2 linked regions of the Sus scrofa genome follow. The protein of the gene in region 2 purifies or fractionates together with the protein of the main gene of each other region. This does not show direct contact. Links are inferred from orthologs where the notes say so. Each region holds a gene or a part of one and is shown on either strand. Other genes may lie near its edges.

Region 1 (3,827 bases), on a different chromosome or scaffold from region 2:
TGCAGAGTAAAAATACCCTGAACTACACAGGTCCATGAATTCTCAAATGTAAAAACACACCCACAGTGGAGACCATCCCTAGATCCCCAACTCCAGGCCTTAGAAACCACTGATCTCATCTCTGCCCCTATAGTTGTGCCTCTTCAACACTCATATAAATCGTACAGCAGCCCTTTGAGTCTGGCTGCTTTCCATTCAAGGTTCTTTGTTGAAAAAATAAAGAAAGCAAGAAGAAACCTTCTATTGCTACACATATAACATTATTGAGGATTATATCTTTCATAAGAAAAGTCAGAAGTTCAGATTTAAGATCAAAACTATTACAGAAATAGGAGTTCCCGTGGTGGCGCAGATGAAAAGAATCCAACTAGGAACGATGAGGTTGTGGGTTTGATCCCTGTCCTCACTCGGTGGGTTAAGGATCTGGCGTTGCCGTGAACTGTGTTGTAGGTTGCAGATGCGGCTCGGATCTGGTGTTGCTGTGGCTCTGGCCGGTGGCTACAGCTCCAATTATACCCCCAGCCTGGGAACCTCCACATGTTGCAGGTGTGGCCCTAAAAAAGAAAAAAGACAAAACTATTATAGAAATAAAAATATTAACCATAGTAACCAGAATAAACATTGTTTTGTTTTAATGTGACGTTATTTAGGGTGTTTTCTGGTTTTGGCTAAATGCAAATTTTCTGAGTAAAGTCTTGGGGGAATAAAATATTTAAAGGACTTTAATAATCAGCTTGAGAATTACTAAACATGTCTTAGAAGAGTTATATTCCTTTTTAGATGTCTTCCAACTCACCGTGTCCCATTTGGCATTCATTTTTTCCTTTTCAAATTTGGCAAATTCCCTTCTGTCGTGAATAATCATTAAAAGCTTCCAAATGAGCAGCAGTGCAAGGCCAATGAGAACAATTCCAGCAACCACACCAGCTACAATTGGAATAATGTCTGGACCAGTGGGACACTCTGTAAAATAAGCAGCAGACGATGAGCACACAAGGGGTTGGTATGTGTGAAGTACAGCCCACATTACAGAGAGCTGAAGAGTCTCATAAAAAACACTAAGGAATTAAAATCCAAGATAAGTCAATGGACACTATCCCACAGAATCTATAAAAAAGACACTAAAAGTTCACAGATGAGTTCACAAGACAACAGGAGACATGACCAATAAAGAAAAGTCCTATGTATTTTATAACAGAAACTGATTTCTTTATATCAGAAATTGAAAATGAGAAAACAGTATTTTCTACAATAGCATCAAAATCATGAAATACCAATGTAAAATTCTAACAAAAAATGTGTAAGATTTACATGCTGAAAATTACTAAACACTGATGAAAGAGATCGAAGGCCTGAATAAATGGGGAGAGATTCCATGTTCTATATTAGAAGATTCAATATTGTTAAGATGTCACTTCTCCCCCAATGTGATCTATAAACTCAATGCTATCCCAATCAAAATCCTGGCAGGATGTGTACAGATGTCAAGCAAGTTAATTCTAAAATTCACAAAGGAGGAGGAGAACTAGAAAAGTCTTTTAAAAACACTTTTGGAAAAGAACAAAGTTGGATAACTCACATTACCAAATTTCACAACTGGATTTGAAGCAACAGTAATTTAAATCGTGTTGTATTGACTCTAAGACAGATGCATGGATTAACGGAACAGAATCATGAGTCAGAAACAGGCCCACACATACAAGGTCATCTGATTTTCAACCACAGTAGAGAAGGGTCAATCTTTTCAAGAAATGGTGTAAGAATGACCAGCTATCCATGCACAAAAAAACTGAACATCACCCCATATGCCAAGCAAGATCAGCTCAAATAAACCAGAAACCATAAAACTTTTAGGAGAAAACAAAGGAAAAAATCCTTATGAACTTGAAATACACCAAGAGGTCTTAGTTAAAAAAGCAGAATCTAAAAAAGAAAAACTTGGCAAATGTGATTCGTCAAAATTTAAGCTTCAGATATTCAAAAAAACACTTAAGACAATGAAAAGAAGGATGCATAGACCAGAAGACAATATTTGCAAAATATCTGAAAATGCAAAATACAGACTTTAAAAGTTTGGCTCTTTCTTCCAAAGTTAAATATATGTCCCCAAAATCCATTCTGAATATTTATCCAAGAGAAATTAAAACTTATATTCCCATAAAAACCTGAACACAAATGTAGAAAATTGCAAAGAATATTTAAAAATCATCTGGAAAAACAAGATAAAAAATGTTTCATCTTCTGAGAAGCTGAACAAAGCCATGCTCTATAATATCCTGTGACAAAATAAGTTTCCCAGTGTCCCCTTCTAAATCAAGTATATTTAAATATCATTCATAGGAGTTCCCCATTGTGGCTCAGCAGGTTATGAACCCAACTAGCATCCATGAGGACGAGGGTTCAATCCTTGGCCTCTCTCAGTGGGTTAAGGATCCTGGGTTGCTGTGAGCTATGGTGTAGGTCACAGACACAGCTGGGATCCAGTGTTGCTGTGGCTGTTGGGTAGGCTGGCAACTGCAGCTCCAATTCGACCCCTAGCTTGGGAACCTCCATATGCCACGGGTGCAGCCCTAAAAAATATACATATACATATATCACTCACAGTGACTTGACTCTTACTGAGTCGGCCCCGTGCCGTCCGGCCCTGTGCTGAGAGCTCTGTGTGGACTGCTGATATACTCTTTAATCTCTCTAATCATAAAACTTAAAATTTGCTCTTTCCCTTATTTCTTATGTAGTTAATACTATTTTAGCTTTAAGAGATTAGAAATGTCCCAAATAAACCTAAAATAGTCCAGCTCAAAGCTTTTCCTAGATACAAGGGAAACTGCCAATTGCCCTAAGCAGTAAAAAGACATAAATGAAAATGACTTTTACCTGGAGTCTCTACAACATGAACAGTGGCCTCATTGTTCCCATTCACCGAGTATGTGAAGTAGAACCAGCAATCATCAACGTCCTTCTCCTTACAATGGGACAAGGGATCGACCTGGCCTGGCTGGGGCAATTTGTCCCGATTTTCAACCTTGGTAATGTTGAAATGTGAACATTCCTGGGCACATGTATCTTTCTTTTCTCCTTTATTGAAGGCTCGGCACTGAACACATTCTCTGTTAAAACATACATCATTATATTTCTTATTTAAAATATTTGCTTAAAGATTACTTTTCCTGTGCTAAACTCAAAATAGGAACAAATTAAACCAAGAGCTACGACAGAAGATTTGAATAAATGAAGAAACACACAAATTCTAGTAAAAAACTAAACATAAAGATGCTAATTTCATAAAGAACAAGGTCCACGGAGTTCCCGTTGTGGCTCCCTGGCCCCGCTCGGTGGGTTAAGGACCGGGTACCGCCGTGAGCTGTAGTGTAGATCACAGACATGGCTTGGATCTGGTGCTGTGGCTGTGATGCAGGCTGGCAGCTGCAGCTCTGATGAGACCCCTAGCCAGGGAACTTCCTTATGCCCCAAGTGCGGGACTAAGACAAAAAAAAAAAAAAAAAAAAGAAAAGAACCAGTCCGAGAGTACAGCACAGGAAACTATATCCATTCTCCTGGGATAGACCGTGATGGATGAGAATATAAAAAAAGAATGCATGTATAACTGAGTCACTTTGCTGTACAGCAGAAACTGGCACATTATAAATCAACTATACTGTAATTAAAAAAAAAGTTTAAAGATGCAAATTTCCCAGGTGAAATTATAGATAACGCAAACCAAAATCCTCCAAAAGAAATGAGTACTAAAATAAAACTAGCCCTATCAGATATTAAATATACAATATAAAACCAAAGTAATTTTTTAAATGTGTTGCTGATGGAAT
Region 2 (3,827 bases):
CCATTTTTTACTCTTTGGAAAAACGTGATAATCTCTGTAATGAGCACTAATGAATTACCCAGATACAATTTACTTTAATAGAAACCACATTGCCTTTCTCCCCAGAGCTTACTCTAGTGTTCAGTGGTTCTGCCTTTGATTTTAAAGTTCACCGTTAAGTATGAAGTGAATGTTCCTTTTCTGAAACTCTACTTGTAGGTGAAAATTCATTAACTAGTTTCTCTGGCTTTTTTTGATATATTTTTAATCTCATAAAATGCTTACATATCAGAAATTTATTTTAAAATACATTTTTGTCGCTAAGTACTTAGTGTATATCTGGAGGGGGTTTCGTATAGTGAAATCAAATGTTTAAATGATCATAAATTGCTTTTTATCTTACAGGATTTAATTGTGATGGGAGCCCCGGGATCATCTTATTGGACTGGCTCTCTTTTTGTCTACAATATAACTACAAATAAATACAAGGCTTTTTTAGACAGATACAACCAAGTGAAGTTTGGAAGTTATTTAGGTACTATAAAAAGTGACAAACTCAAATTGTTTCTGCCTTACAGATACTGGTAATTATAAAGAAGGAAAATCGTACCTTCAAAAGATCAAAATGGCCAATAGGAATTAAAGGGCCACTTCAAAAACTGCATCTTTAAGAATGTAATCTATGAAACTTTTAGTTAACTTAATATTTTATATATGTAACTGTTACCATCAATGTATAGTTAGATAAGAACTCCTGGTTTGGTTTACTCTTTGCCGTAAATCACTTGAAAGTCTGTATCTTTATACGGTCTACGTTTTATTGTAAAGGTAGTGTCTATTGAGTGCCTGCCATCTCCTAGGAACTTCTGTAAGCACTCTACATGAATTGATTCATTTAATCATGAATGAGTGAGTAAGTGTGGTTTCTTCAAGGACCCACTGAAAGTCAATGAGACTGCGGATGGCTTTCTAGACAATGGGTGACATTATGAAGAATATGTGTCTAAAAACAGCTCATTGACCTTTGCCTCATAAGTTCTTAGAATATTTCCCAGAGCATAACTATTTTTATCTATCTTCTTATTTAAGAAAGAATACTTATTTAAGATAGGATACTTTATAGTCTATGTTTCTACAGAAACCCAAGATTTTCTCTGGCATTATTTCCCTTGTTGTAGTATAAGGAATTCTTTTCCTAAGGTTTCTTTAAAAATACAGATTTGTTTAAATGATGTGTGCTTCAAATGTGAACAGCCTACACTCAGGAATAATTATAATAGAAAGCAGGATTTTTCCCCCATTTAAACAGAAGGAATTCATTTTCATACAGAGGGAACTAATTTACAAGTCAACATTTACTTGTTTATGGTTGAAGGATATCTTAAAGGATTACAAAAAATGTAACTTAGTATTATACCTTTGACCACATAATAAAATGAGAATATTTTACCTGTTGTGTTATCATACAATTTTATCATAATTGGGAAGGTTTCAGGGCAAGAAAAATTGAAGTTTAGGAAAAATATGGGTTTTTTTTTAACTTCAAGTTCAAAATGTTATATTTTAAATATGCTAAATTATTTCTGTTGTAATCCTAGAAGCTAGAATGTCCTGATACCACAGAGACTAACAAACCAAATGTAAAGGTGCTATCTTCAATTTCTAAGACTGAAAAATATAAGCCATGTGACTAGTTTCATGATGCACAATAACTGCTTAAGGCATATAATACATAACCAGTTTTGAATATTGCTATGCTAAATTTTCTTAAATCTCTGGTTTAGTGTAGTTATTTTGAATTTAGTCTTATTTAACTCTGAGTGGATTTATGATCGGGGTTTTACCCATTGCCAATGATGATTCTCATACTTTTCTACATTTTCTTGAAGGATACTCGGTTGGAGCAGGTCATTTTCGGAGTATGTACACTACTGAAGTAGTTGGAGGAGCCCCTCAACATGAACAGATTGGTAAAGTAAGAATTTCATTTTAGTATTTTATTTCTTCAAAAATGTTCAAATAGATCACATGAGAGAATAAGATATTAAAGGGCACCACAAAAATTCTAAGCATTCAAGCTGAAAATGATGAGCAATGTGCTGCTGTTAGAGGAAACTTAGTGAAAGTTGTATGGCTTTTAGATAAAATTGTGCAGAAAAGCTTTAAGGAAAATTATGGAAGTCAAATGATGCTCTTCTTTCTAATGAATAATTGTTTCTGAGATGATAGAATTTTCTCAAGATATCATAGGAATACACTTATTGGTTAATAACTTTATAGCTGAAGAGAAATCAAGGCAGCTACATTTGTGGTGTAGTAGTGTTAAGACTAGAAAGAATAAAATATTATTTCTCATTTAACTTTCATTACATTGTTGTGAATGTTAACTAAATTTTTCTGAGCCTTATTTTGAAAATTAAGGCAAACAACGTTTTCTGTGCTCTCTGTAATGGATCCGTGAGATTGTTCCTGAGAAGGTGGTTTTGCAAGGAAGGCATGTTAATGTGAAAGTGGATCCCTCGGCCTTTTGTATCACTCTGAAAAGGATTTTTTAAAAATATATTTAAGCAGGAAGTTCCCCTGCGGCACAGTAGGTTAAGGATCTAGCATTGCCAAAGCTGTGGTGTGGGTTCCATCCCTGGCCCAGAAACATCCACATGCCGTGGATGCAGCTAAAAAAAAATTAAAAAATAAAAAAAACCTGAGCAATTATGACAATTAATGTTTTGACTGAATGAAAAACTTTTAATGTGATAGTAGTGTAACCTTTCCTAATGCTTTTCCCTATTGCAGGCATACATTTTCAGCATTGATGCAAAAGAACTAAATATCTTACATGAAATGAAAGGTAAAAAGGTAATATGTCTCTACCTTTGGTTATCACTGAGGGCGTTGGTGAGTAACTCTGCTTTTTTCTCAATGACTGGATCTGGTTTGCCTTGGAGCAGCTTGGGTCTTATTTTGGAGCTTCTGTCTGTGCCGTGGACCTCAATGCAGATGGCTTTTCAGACCTACTGGTGGGCGCCCCCATGCAGAGCACCATCAGAGAGGAAGGAAGAGTGTTTGTGTACATCAACTCTGGCCTGGTAGGTCCGATTGCCTGCAAACTGGAAGCCATTTATGGGATTTTGATTACAACTGATGCTCTTCTTATTCCAGCAAGACTATAGATTTTTAGGCTTATTTTACCAATGAAAATTAAAGTTGTGATACTGTACTGATGCTCTAAAAATGAAATGGAACATGGTAGGGAAAGGGCCTCTGTCCTATTTTAATGTCTCAAAAGTATGAGATCAGGTGTCTGAAGTTTTTCTATTCACAGCTTGTGTTCACTCAAGTAGTAGAAGTGTCTTCCAGTTTTATTATGATGCAAATTTATAATTTGAAAGAATGATTTTTCTATAACCCTAAAAATGTGGGTGTCCTACTGGTTTGACAGTGAGTGTCCTTATATAATTTGGTAGTTATAAACACTACTGGAAGTAGATGATAAAGTATAAAATGTTTTTAATTTCTTGATTTGAAACAATTGGAAGCAAGAATTTTGATAAAATGTTTATTTGCACAGTTCTTACAGATTTTAATTCTTGATGTGAATGTAAAATTGACATTGTTTATTCCAAAGCAGATATAGTAGTTGTAGAAATATGTGTTTACTTGCTTATGGTTGAGTTTTAAATTATGCACAGTGTTTTGGAGTAGAAACTGACCAGTTAACACTTTAAAGAGTTCTGCTGGCCTTATCTTGGCCAGTTTATCTTCTTGGTATTCTATCAAAAGAAGGACTTGATAGGACCTTAATGGGGTCTTCTTGGCTTGTTTCTTTAAGAGCAAGAACAGGTTTGTTA

Evidence for each region.
Region 1: the proteins of ITGA4 (region 2) and ITGB1 purify together in Homo sapiens (co-immunoprecipitation; 4 studies listed by BioGRID and IntAct, with this or other methods). This does not show direct contact. The link is inferred for Sus scrofa from reciprocal best matches to the Homo sapiens genes ITGA4 and ITGB1.

The regions. Positions count from the first base shown.
Region 1 is NC_010452.4:56,085,453-56,089,279, forward strand, and holds part of ITGB1 (integrin beta-1), read right to left. Parts: intron 3,111-3,827; coding exon 2,878-3,110; intron 964-2,877; coding exon 713-963; 3' UTR 1-712.
Region 2 is NC_010457.5:86,969,571-86,973,397, forward strand, and holds part of ITGA4 (integrin alpha-4), read left to right. Parts: intron 1-384; coding exon 385-514; intron 515-1,868; coding exon 1,869-1,954; intron 1,955-2,772; coding exon 2,773-2,835; intron 2,836-2,927; coding exon 2,928-3,065; intron 3,066-3,827. UniProt on the Homo sapiens protein: Integrins alpha-4/beta-1 (VLA-4) and alpha-4/beta-7 are receptors for fibronectin. They recognize one or more domains within the alternatively spliced CS-1 and CS-5 regions of fibronectin. They are also receptors for VCAM1.